Linked DNA regions of Caenorhabditis elegans. The protein of the gene in region 1 purifies or fractionates together with the protein of each later gene. This does not show direct contact. Each region holds a gene or a part of one and is shown on either strand. Other genes may lie near its edges. The genes, in order: nfyc-1 and nfyb-1.

Region 1 (4,114 bases):
AATTTTTTTTTGATAGATTTTCGGAATCAGGGGAAAATTTGGAGTCATTAAAAAATATTGGTACTAGTCCTAAATCACCCCGCCACTTTTTTTATTTGTGTATTATTTCCCCTCATTTTAATATTATTCATTTTAATAAAACGTGATGTCCATTTTCCATCTTTAGGCTTAGAAATGGCTATTTCCTAAGCCTAAAAATACAAAAACTCCACACGTTTTTATTTGAAAAAAAAGAAAAAAAGTGGCGGGGTGATTTAGAACTAGTACCAAAATATTTTTCAGGTTTCGGTACTCAGCCTTTGAAAGAGTGAATTTGTTAGCTAAAATACACTCAAAATTACCTTATCAACCAAAGCAACAGCAAAATCGAATCCCTCATCAAGACAATTAACATCTGCCCCAACTTCTACAACATGCTCGCTAATATCTCCTTTTACGCTGAATATTGGCGCTTTTTTACGTCCTCCTTTTCCGTGTCTTTCGAATGTCAGCTAAAATGGATTTTTATTTTCATTTGAAAGAAGGTGCTTTAGAACAAACGTTTTTCAAATCTTTTGGCCGATTGTGCACGAATGAGGCAACGATATCAGAATCTGCAAATTCTTTGTTGGATTCCACATTTCTCACGTGGCAAGCCGTCTTCTTCGCACTCAGCTCCTCACTTGACAACCACATTTCGCCTCAAATTTAAAGATTTCAAAGTAAAAGCCTGTAAAATGAAAAACAAAGAAATAAGAAAATATATGAATGTGCATATGAAACACAGTATTTTTAGACAAAAAAGGTATAAATTCAAGCTTTTAAAGGGCGCCAGGCGCCACGAACTTAATTTTAATACATAATATAAGCAAGAAAATATTATTATAAAGATCAATTGTGGTGAGATCGGTTGACTGAAGAATTTGAAGTTCTCTGGTGAAAGTCGGAATGCATGTTGGGATCTATAAAAGGTTAAAAATTGCACAAAAATCATATTTAGGAAAAAAACCGAAAACCTTGGAAACTGTCTTCACTCATATGGCCTGGGCCGTTTGTGGAAGTTGTTGGCACCGTTTTCGGAGGTAGAAAGTCGATGAGAAAATCGAACTGATCACTTTTTTGCACTGCGCTTGCTATGTCGGCTTTTTGAAGAATTCGTCGCCTTGCTTCTGACACGTATTGCCAGCCCATTGCGGTCATTTCTTCAATGAAAAACTCGGCTGCTTGAGCCATAAATATCGGAGCATCAGACGCGATCATCTGTAAAAAGTGTATGAAGATCGGCTGGAAAATGACACTACTCACAAAGTTGCGAACATCGTCGTCTATTCGCATAATCTTTTTCACTCTAGCCATGGGAACGCTCATGTTTTTCGACTTGTTCAGCATATCCTCTTCAGAAATCTCAGTCATTTTCTGTTTTTTTTCACGCCAGAAATCTTCTGTCATTTGTCTCATCGAGGCGTACTTTGCCGGTGGTATCGCATCATTGTGATGGATTAAATTATTATAAGGATGAACCGCACCTTCTACAATAGAAGGCATATTTATTGGATGCATGTTCGGCTAAAATGAAATAAAATAAATAAGTTTTTAAAACGAGTTGATTTTATTCACCGTGTAGGGATGTTCCATGAACACTTCTGATTGATTTGTCCCATCATTTTGTATGTATTCGGCAGTTTCGTTGTTTTCGGCGTGTAAAAGCTGAAATAAATGAAACATTTGCTGGGAAGTCGAAAATTTTAAATTGTATTACTTACATTATTGTCTAAAACTTCTGGGAATTGCGACATCACGGCAGATGCAAGAAAAATTAACTTTAAACTAATTAGAAAAAAATAAATTAAAACAACACTATTCTTCTGTCGTGAAATATTGTGCATTGTGTGCACGTACACCGAGGCGGAAGATTGCGGACTCGATCAACTGCGCTCTGTTGGACACGATGACAATTTCAATTCTGATTTTCATTTCTGACGTTCTTTCCTCATGAGAACCTCGTTTTTTCAGATTTTTACATCTTATACAGATTAAAAAATGTTTTCATTCAAAACTAGATATTTTCTGAATTCCAGAACATGGTTGAACCAACTGGTCCCGCCATCGTAGAGGATGAACGCACTAAGGCGCTCAACAGCTATAGAAGAAAATTGGCAGAGTGCCGTGACATTGAACAGAAGTTGAAGGACTTGCGAAAAAAAGAAAGCGAGATGACCAAACAATTTGACAAATCCGAGAACGATATCAAGTCGTTGCAATCTGTTGGACAAATTGTAGGAGAAGTGCTCAAGCAGCTCAGTGAAGAGAAATTCATCGTCAAGGCAACCAATGGTCCTCGTTATGTTGTCGGATGCCGTCGCAGTATTAACAAGGAAGAGTTGAAGCAAGGGACAAGAGTTTCGTTGGATATGACAACTCTTACTATCATGTAAGCTTTTAGTTTTTTAAACAAAAAGTCTTAAACCGAAATGTTTCAGGCGTCAGCTGCCACGTGAAGTTGATCCGCTAGTCTACAAAATGTCTCACGAAGATCCTGGTAACATTAGCTATTCAGATGTCGGAGGACTCGCTGAGCAGATTCGCGAGCTTCGTGAAGTTGTGGAGCTCCCACTCATCAATCCCGAACTCTTTAAACGTGTTGGTATCACTCCCCCGAAAGGATGTCTGCTTTTTGGTCCACCGGGAACAGGAAAAACTCTCCTTGCTCGTGCTGTAGCATCGCAACTGGATTGCAATTTCCTGAAAGTTGTCTCGTCTGCTATTGTTGATAAATATATCGGAGAGTCTGCAAGAATGATTCGAGAAATGTTCAATTATGCTCGTGACCATCAGCCATGCATTGTCTTCATGGATGAAATTGATGCGATCGGTGGAAGACGTTTCTCAGAAGGAACATCAGCAGATCGTGAAATTCAGAGAACTCTTATGGAACTTCTCAATCAGCTCGATGGATTCGATTCGCTTGGAAAAGTCAAGGTTATTATGGCCACGAATCGTCCTGATACATTGGATCCTGCTCTTCTTCGTCCTGGAAGACTTGATAGAAAGATTGAAATCGGACTGCCAAACGAACAATCTCGCTTGGAAATTCTCAAGATTCACTCGAACAAGATCACCAAACACGGCGAAATAGATTTTGAAGCTGTTGTCAAGTTGTCCGACGGATTCTCGGCTGCTGATTTAAGAAATGTGTGCACAGAAGCTGGTGAGGAGTTGAATCATAAAAATTGCATTCAAATTATCATTTTTGTTTCAGGAATGTTTGCCATCCGTGCTGAGCGTGAATTCGTTATCGACGAGGACTTTATGAAAGCTGTTCGCAAGGTTGGAGACGCGAAGAGACTTGAGACGAAGCTCGACTATAAACCTGTCTAATTGATTTTTTCGTATTTATTGGACCTTTCCCGTTTGCATCTTTTAACCATTATCCCGTTTTCAATGTTTCCGTGTAAAAAAAGAAGATCCGAATCATAAATTATTTTTGGCTGGTTCTTGACATGGAGTAGATTTCTCGATAAATAATATTTGTAGACCCAAATAATGACGAGCCTCGTAAAAAAAATCGCGAAATATTATAGTAATTTTTCGATTCTCCAGACTTTCAAAAAAAAAATTCAATTTTATTTGGCACAAAGGCACTTTTCGTGTAAAGATTCTCAATTTATCCTGAATAAAACCCACAAAAGGTCGAAAATTGTTCGATTTTTTTCAAAGAAAATAGAAAATGAAGCTTTTCAATTAAATTTTCGTTTCAGAGCAATGGCGAGCACCAGTATAAAATCTGCAATCGCTCGTATCGGATCCATCAAGTATACAGAACTGGAGGACCTGAAATCAGTGAGCATATCCCAGGAGGAACAAGAAGCAGTTAGAGTTGAGCTGGAAAAAGAAAAGGTTTGAGCTGATATATTCTGGAATGAGATTTATACTCGGAAATGCCACTACCCCATTCAAACACAAAATGTCTGGCTCGTTAATAATATAATTAGATCGGCTATTTGCGTCATTCGAGAGTTTCAATTCACACAAAAACATTCCAGAAAATCTTTTTTTAGGATAATTGGCGCCCGGAGGAGCTACCGAAAGATTTCGAATCTCGTCTGGAACTGTTTGAAATCTCTTCTCCAATAAA
Region 2 (8,548 bases), 420 kb from region 1:
AAGATTTTCAAATCGAATTTTCAAAAATTTTCAATACGATTTTCGAACTCACCATCCTATTTTACCCCGTCACATCAATTTTCAGCTTGAAATTCACCAATGTCGTGAAATCAAGTGTTTTGGGGGACTGTAGTCGGTGTTTGCGTACTCTTGGTGCTACAGTAACCCAAAATTTCTCATTTTTGAGTTGAAAACCAGGGAAACCGGGGATAAGGGCCAATTTAAGGTGCTGAATTTGAATTTCACATTAAACATTTCAAAATTACAAGTTTTTTGCCAAAAAAAATTTTGTCTGAAAATCTCAAAATTTAAGATTTTCAAATCGAATTTTCAAAAATTTTCAATACGATTTTCGTACTCAGCACTTTATTTTACCCCGTCAAATCAGTTTTTAGCCCAAAATTCGCCAATGTCGTAAAATCTGGCGTTTTGGGGTACTGTAGTCGGTGTTTGCGCACTTTTGGGATTACAGTACCCCAAATTTTTAAAATTTCGAGCTAGAAGCCGGAAGAAACGGACTATAGGGTTACTTTTAACGCTGAATTCGAATTTCACATTGAAAATTCAAACTTACAAGTTTGGCGCCTCAAAAAAAAATTTCTCTGAAAATCTCAAAATTTCAGATTTTCAAATAAAAATTTTCAGAAATTTTTAATACGATTTTAGAATTCAGCACCCCATTTTACTCCGTCAAATCAATTTTCAGCTCAAAATTCGCAAGTGTCGTAAAATCAGGCGTTTTGGGGTACTGTAGTCAGTGTTTGCGTACTCCTGGAGCTACAGTACCCCAATTTTCTTAAAATTAGAGCTGGAAGCCGGGAGAAAAAGGAAATAGGGGTAATTTGAGGCGCTGAATTCGAATTTCGCATTGAAAATTTGAAATTCAATGGGAAAAGTGTGGAAAAATTGAAAAATCGATTTGAAACGAATTTTTTTGGTGGTTAAGTGAAAACTGAGGCATTGGGGTATAATTGAATTTATTTTTTTGCAATAAATTAGAGATATAAATAAATAAATGAATAAATATTTCAAAAATAATTACAATTGTATATGTTAAGTTGTCAAGGAAATGGATACGATGGAGATCAATGAAAAATGGAAAATTTTGGAAAATTGAATTTTTGCAAAAATTGCAGTTTTCAGATTCAGTTTTGAGGGAAAATGAGAAAAAATCCAATAAAAAATTCGGTAAAAATGGTGATTTTCAGTGCAAAATTTTAAAAATTCCTCAAAAAGTTGGGATTTCAGGGTGAAAAAATGCGAAAAATACAATAAAAATCGAGAAATTATCATTTTTTGCAATTTTCTCTACTTTTTCCTCTTCGTCGGCGTTCGTTTCGGCTGAACTCGGGTGGCTGCGGGTCTCGGCGCGATTGGAACGGGTACTGTATCCTCCTCTACTTGATCTACTTCTTCTTCTTCTTCATATTCCACGTCATCGTGTTGTTCCACGTGGCTGACGTGGTGGTGCTGCTGGGCATAGGAAGACGGATTTTGACCTGAAAATCGGGAAAATTGACTGAAAATGTGCAAAAATTTCATTTTTCTGAAAAAAACATATGCAAAATAGGTAAAAATAGGCCAAAAATGCCTAAAATCACTTTTTTTAAAAGAAAAATTGGCTGAAAATCAGTTTTTTCGATTAAAAAAGACTAAAAATTAGCTGAAAATACATGAAAACACTTATTTAATCGGAAAATTCATTTTATAAAACTGGAAAATTGGGGTTAAAATGCTTCAAAATCACTTTTTTCCCGATTAAAATGGCTCAAAAATGCTAAAAACTTGATTTTTTCCCATTAAAACCAGTAAAATCTCCATTTTTCAGCATTTTTGAACAGAAAATCACTAAAAAATGCAATATTTTACCGATTTTCCGCATAACTGAGCTACTTGACACTGGCTGAGGCTCTTCTTGTCCCATTCCGTGGGGTATTGCTCGTCCATCTGGCATATTCATAACGAATTGCTGAAAAAATATTAAATTTCGAACAAAAAAAATTTTTTAATCAAAATTTCTGAAATTTTCAATACGATTTTCGAATTCAGCACTCCAATTTTACCCCGGGAAATCAATTTTCAGCTCAACATTCGCAAATTTCGTAAAATCTGGTGTTTTGGGGTACTGTAGTCGGTATTTGCGTACTCTTGGGGCTACAGTAACCCAAAATATTCAAACTTTGAGCTAGAAGCACGGGGAAAAGGAAAATGAAGGTAATTTTTGGCGCTGAATTCGAATTTCGCATTAAAATTTCAAAATTACAAGGTTTTTGCCCAAAAAAAAATTTGTCTGAAAATTTCAAAATTTCCGATTTTCAAATCAAATTTTCTGAAATTTTAAATACGATTTTTGAATTCAGCACTCCAATTTACCCCGTCAAATCAATTTTCAGCTCGAAATTCGCCAATGCCGTAAAATCTGGTGCTTTGGGTTACAGTAGTCGGTGTTTGCGTACTCTTGGGGCTACAGTAACCCGAAATATTCAAAATGTTGAGCTAGAAGACGGGGAAACAGGGTTCTGGGGGTAAATTGAGGCGCTGAATTCGAATTTCGCACTAAAAATCTGAAATTCGCTGTGAAAAGTGCTGGAAATCGTACATTTGGCCCAGAAACATTTTCCAATTGCAGTGGGGTGTCCTGGATGATCAGAGGGTAGAGTTCCATGCCATTCGGAGCTGAAATTTGCTTTTCCGGAATTATTTAAAAACATTTTCTTAGATATTTGACAGAAAATCGAGAAAATTCACAATTGTTTTCAGAAAAATCGAGAAAATGTCAATTTTCACAAATTTTAATATAAAAATCGGGAAAATATCGATTTTCTCGGATTTTTCAGGTAGAAAATCAAATTAAAACCAATTTTTTCGAGTTTTTATGCTAAAAATCAAAAAAAATTTGAATTTTCTAGTTTTCTGCTGTAAAAATCAAATCTGGACCAATTTTTTCTAATCTTTACGGCAAACATAGGGAATTTTCAGTAAAATCCACAAAAGTTGACGAAATTTCGATTTTTTCTGAAGTTTTCACCAAAAAAAAAATCGATTTTCCTAGATTTTTTCCGTTCAAAATCGGTTTTAAACCATTTTTTCCAATTTTTGAGCTGGAAATCAAGAAAATTTCAATTTTCTGTTTTTTTTGTGCTGTAAAAATCTAATTTTTCTAATTTTTAAGGAAAAAAATGAGAAATTTTCTGGAAACGCCACAAAATCGGCGAAACTTCGATTTTTCCGGAATTTTCACAAAAAAAAATCGATTTTTCTCAATTTTTCCAATTTTCACGCTGGAAAATTCAGAATTTCATAAAAAATTCCGTACTTTCTTTCGCTGCAAAATGTTGTTTCGTCTTTGGATCCACATAAATCTGCATTTGGCCTTGTTGCTCCAAGGCGATGGCTCCAAGTGAATCTTGCTCAATAATTTCCTCGTGTTCTTCAATTTCTACTTCTTCCATCGGCATCGGCTCCATTGGCTCCTGAAAAATCGAATTTTTTGAGTTAAAAAATCAATTTTTGAGTTAAAAAATCAATTTTTGAGTTAAAAATTCAATTTTTGAGTTAAAAATTCAATTTTTGAATTAAAAATTCAATTTTTGAGTTAAAAATTCAATTTTTGAATTAAAAATTCAATTTTTGAATTAAAAATTCAATTTTTGAGTTAAAAAAATCAATTTTTGAGTTAAAAATTCAGGTTTTTAGTGGAAAAATCCATTTTTCCACAGTTTTCCATCCAGAAAATCCAATTTTCACCTCCATATAATATCCATCTGCGCGGGTATTCAATGTACCAGTTTGCTCATTCCATTCTTCTCCCAATGGAGCATTTTTCACAATTTCACTGCCATTTATCACGTATTGAGTCTCGGTACCTGGAAAATTGCAATTTTTTTCATCATTTTCCTAGAAAAATTGAAAATTTGGGCATAGCTTCCGCATCTCCGGTGACAAATGTGCTCTATTGCACAAATTGTTGGTTGGAATACGGTATTTATTGCATGTTTCAGCCGAGAATACCGATATTCCAGCCATCAATTTGGATAGAAGGACATGAGTCACAGAAATTTATTTTTGTAGAGAAACTACAGTAATCCTTATAGGAGTTATATGGCATTTTCAGAGCAAGTTTCGGTATTTTTCCGAAAAAAAGTCGCTTGAAACTACTATGCAAAGCTGCTGAGTTTCGCGAAAAATTCAAAATTTTGGGAAAAAAACGGTGAGAATTGCAATTTTTCCATATAAATCTTAAAAATGCATTATTAGTTTTTTTTTAACTATAGTATCCTTGAAAGTCATAGAACAAGTTGCAAGATTCGTAGAAAACTCGAAAAAATCATATATTTAACGCTAAAAATTCAAAATTAAGAATTTGTGCAACTTTCAGCAAAAAATTTAGAATTTTGACAAATTTTTAAAGGAAAATCATCATTCTCAGTGCTTCAAGCTCTGAAAAAAATTTTTAGGAATTTTTCCAGAGAAAACCATTTTTGTTCAGGTTTTTACTATTCTTCCCATTAATTTTTCAAAGCTTGAAGCACTGAGAATGATAATTTTCATTAAAAATGTGTCAAAACTCTAAATTTTTTGCTGAAAAATACTCAGAAGCCGAAATTAAAAGCCAAAAATTCTGAATTTTAAGTTTTTAGCGTTAAAATTATGATTTTTTCGAGTTTTCTGCGAATCTTGTAATTTTTTCTATGACTTCAAAGGATACTGTAGTTGAAAAAAACTGAAAAATGAATTTTTGAGATTTATGTGGAAAAAATGCAATTTTCACCGTTTTTTTACTATTATTTCGGCTTCTGAATATTTTTCAGCAAAAAATTCAGAGTTTTGACAATTTTTTTAAATGAAAAATCATCATTCTCAGTACTTCAATCTTTGAAAAAAAAACAATTCTTAGTCTAAATTTCAAGTTTCCGGTTTTTTCTATTTTTTCCATAAATTTAGTCTATTTTCTGTGAAATTTCTAGTTTTTTATTATTTTTTCCATAAATTTAGTCTATTTTCTGTGAAATTTCTAGTTTTTTATTATTTTTTCCATAAATTTAGTCTATTTTCTGTCAAATTTCGTTTTTTCTATTTTTTTCCATAAATTTAGTCTATTTTCTGTCAAATTTCTAGTTTTTTACTATTTTTTCCATAAATTTAGTCTATTTTCTGTCAAATTTCGTTTTTTCTATTTTTTTCCACTAATTTAGTCTATTTTCTGTGAAATTTCTAGTTTTTTACTATTTTTTCCATAAATTTAATCCATTTCCAGTCAAATTTCCAGTTTTTTTTTCTATTTTTCCATCAATTTAATCTATTTTCAGGCAAAATTTTCCGATTTTCACACACGAACATCTGCGTCCTTGCTCCGTATCGAAGAATAATGGCCGAACAAAAGGATCCATTTGAAATTGTGGAGGCCGTACGTAGTCTGGGTGTGTTCTGTGAATTGGTCCAGTGATCTTGTGAGCCTGACGGTACTTTTGAAGGAAAATTCGCATTGGCTCCGCGTAATTGTCGAATCCTGTGGCTTCCATCGCGGTGAGCAGGTCGTCTGGAAATTTTTTTATATTGAAAATTGCGGTTTTTAGGGTTTTTTGGGCTTTTGGGCTGTTTTTGAGTTTTTAAAAAGGTTTTCCATGCGAAAATTGTAGTTTTTGGACGATTTGCGGGTAATTTTAGACGGAGTTTCCCGGTTTTACCTGCAGTAATAGTCTTCCGCTTCGTAATATTGCATATTTCAGCGGCTTCCGAAGCGATAAAGCTTATAAACTCTGAAACACACTCTTGAGCACACTCCTTTGCGTCTTTTGCCAATTTCGCCTGCGGATCCATTTGAGTTTTCATGATTCGGACCACGTTAGCTGAAAAAATTGGGATTTTTGGAGAATTTTCAACGATTTTTGTTTTAAAAAAATTGAAAAATCTCGAGCTTGATGCCTTTTTGCAGAGAAACTTTCAATTCTTGAAAAAAAAATTACAAAAAAAATCGATTTTTGTCGAAAATTTATGTTTTTGAAAAAAAAATTGTAAAAAATTGGTCTGCTAGACTACAAACTACAATATTCGATTTAGCAGACCATTGTTGTTCTGAACAAAATTGGTCTGCTAGACTACAAACTACAAGTTTAGATTTAGCAGACCAATAGATATTGAAGAAGTTTGGTCTGCTAGACTACAAACTACAAAATTCGATTTAGCAGACCAAAGTGATTTTGAACAAAATTGGTCTGCTAGACTACAAACTACAATTTTCGATTTAGCAGACCCATGTGATATTTTTTCATTTTAAAGGGCAATTTTAGAAAAAATGGCGGTTTTTATCGGAAATTTATGAATTTTTTCACTTTTCAGTCTAGATTTTTCAAGAAATTTCAATTTTTCGTGTAAAATTCCGGGAATTTATCGATTTTCATCAAAATTTCCGCATGTTTTCCCATACCAATTGGCAAAAATCGTTCCTGATCAAGTAAAACTTGACTTTTATTCGGATGATGAAGCTCCATTGCTATTTCACTAATTGTTCGTGTATCCTCTTCTATATTATGAATTCCATTCATATCATCTTCTGTTATTTCTTCTTCTTCAGGCATTCCATGATCATGATCCTCCAGTAACATTCCTTCGTTTATGGGTTTTGGATCCATTTTGGGAGCTTTTAGACGGTGGACACGGGCTGAAAATTGCGAAAATTTGAAGAAAATAAGGTGAAAACAAGGAAAAATAGCAAAAATTCGGGGTTTTCAGCGATTTTCCGAGCTGAAAATGCTAAATTTTTAATTTTTTAGATTAAAAAACAGGAAAAATCAAGTTTCAAGACCATTTTTCAAGCTTTTCGAAGTGAAAACTCGTAATTTCTTCTTAAAAATCACATTGGTCTGCTAAATCGAAATTTGTAGTTTGTAGTCTAGCAGACCAAAAATTTTCAGAATTAAATTTTTTTAAAGCAATTTTTCAGCGAGAAATTGAACATTTTTCGAATAAAAATTAGAAAAATTGAAGTTTTTGGGACTTTTAGTGCAAAAATTGACGATTTTTGTGTTTTTAAGCATTTTTAAAGCTTAAAATTCGATGTCTCATATATTTTTGCCTGAAAAAAAGTGAAAAACTACAAGAAAAAAAGATAAAAATACGCATTTTGGATGAAATAACCCGAATACAGTGCTGCAAAAAATTTAGATAATGGAAATGAGCTGAAAATTGCGAAAATTTGAAGAAAATTGGGTGAAAACGAAGAAAATAGGCGAAATTCGGGGTTTTCAGCGATTTTCTGGGATAAAAATGATAAATTTTGTTTTTTTTCAATAAAAAAGCGAAAAAATCAAGTTTTAAGGCTATTTTTCAAGCTTTTTAGACTGAAAACTCTTCGTTTTTTCTTCTAAATCGGGTCTGCTAAATCGAAATTTGTAGTTTGTAGCCTAGCAGACCCAAAATTTGAATTTTTGCCAGGGAAAAAATTTTTCAGCGAAAAATTGAAGATTTTTCGAACAGAAATTATAAAAATTCAATTTTATGCGACTTTCAGCGCGAAAATTTGCAATTTTTGTGTTTTTTAAGGCTTTTTAAAGCTTAAAATTCGGATTTTTACCTGGAAAAAGTGAAAAACGTCAAAAAAATCGATAAAAATACAAGTTTTGGATGAAAAAACCGGGATATTGTGCTAGAAAAATCCTTGAAAAATGTTAGAAAATCAACAATTTATATGATAATGAATTCTATCGCAAAAAAAGCTATCAGAAGACGAAAAACAGGGGAAAATCTAGGAAAAGATCAATTTCAGACGGTTTTAAGGGGGATTTTCGGCGAGAAAATCAAGTTTTTCAAGCAGTTTTGGCTTGTTGAATGGCCGCAGATGGTCCGAGAAGCATTTGACGTTGCTGAGCCACTTGAGTCTTTTCCAAATCACTTCGTTCCTTTTCGATAATGTATGGAAGGAAGGCGATCAATGACGTTGTAGATACAACCCAAATTGTGCTTTTTGTAAGGGAAAACTGAAAGAAAATTGAGTTTTTTTGGAGTTTTCAGTGTGAAATATGAGTTTTTACTGTCAAATTGAGATTTTTTTACAAAAATCGATAATTTTTAGTTTTTAGAGCAGAAATTCGGGAAAACTGAAAGAAAACATATTCTTTTTTAGAGTTTTCAGTGTAAAATAAGCAAATTTTTAATTTTTTCTCTATTAAAAATTGTCAAATTGTTGATTTTCCGAGTGTTTTATAGCAAAAATCAATAATTTTTGGTTTTTAGAGGAATAAATAAGATTTTTTTGAGTTTTCAAATAAAAAAGGCCGAATTTTTACTTTTTTTCAGTTTAAAATTGTCAAATTGTTGATTTTCTAGATGTTATACTGCAAAAATCGATAATTTTTAGTTTTTAGAGCAGAAATTCGGGAAAACTGAAAGAAAATTGAATCTTTTTTAGAGTTTTCAGTGTAAAATAGGCAAATTTTCAACTTTTTCTCGGTTCAAAATTGCCAAATTATTGATTTTCCGGTTTTTTAATGCAAAAATCGATAATTTTTATAATTTAGAACAGAAATTAGAGGAAAACTGAAAGAAAATT

What was found.
Region 2: the proteins of nfyc-1 (region 1) and nfyb-1 purify together in Caenorhabditis elegans (affinity purification with western blotting, with the first as the bait; one study listed by BioGRID). This does not show direct contact.

What each region holds. Positions count from the first base shown.
Region 1 is NC_003280.10:41,606-45,719, reverse strand, and holds nfyc-1 (Nuclear transcription factor Y subunit nfyc-1), read right to left. Parts: upstream 1,814-4,114; 5' UTR 1,776-1,813; coding exon 1,743-1,775; intron 1,687-1,742; coding exon 1,597-1,686; intron 1,546-1,596; coding exon 1,285-1,545; intron 1,240-1,284; coding exon 996-1,239; intron 942-995; coding exon 871-941; 3' UTR 803-870; downstream 1-802. Other genes in the region: rpoa-49 (RNA polymerase I associated factor, A49-like protein), read right to left, coding at 342-491, 541-675; rpt-4 (putative 26S proteasome regulatory subunit 10B), read left to right, coding at 2,058-2,410, 2,460-3,187, 3,239-3,357; F23F1.10 (Reverse transcriptase domain-containing protein), read left to right, coding at 3,742-3,876, 4,038-4,114. UniProt on the Caenorhabditis elegans protein: Component of sequence-specific heterotrimeric transcription factor (nfya-1-NF-Y and nfya-2-NF-Y) complexes which specifically recognize a 5'-CCAAT-3' box motif found in the promoters of its target genes to regulate their expression and control cellular identity in particular tissue types.
Region 2 is NC_003280.10:460,705-469,252, forward strand, and holds nfyb-1 (Nuclear transcription factor Y subunit nfyb-1), read right to left. Parts: upstream 6,662-8,548; 5' UTR 6,633-6,661; coding exon 6,428-6,632; intron 6,202-6,427; exon of another isoform or gene 6,145-6,201; intron 5,850-6,144; coding exon 5,688-5,849; intron 5,540-5,687; coding exon 5,339-5,539; intron 3,867-5,338; coding exon 3,748-3,866; intron 3,474-3,747; coding exon 3,317-3,473; intron 2,677-3,316; coding exon 2,600-2,676; intron 1,970-2,599; coding exon 1,870-1,969; intron 1,500-1,869; coding exon 1,309-1,499; 3' UTR 963-1,308; downstream 1-962. Other genes in the region: W10D9.3 (MKRN2 opposite strand protein-like C-terminal domain-containing protein), read right to left, coding at 53-55; tomm-22 (Mitochondrial import receptor subunit TOM22 homolog), read right to left, coding at 7,806-7,976.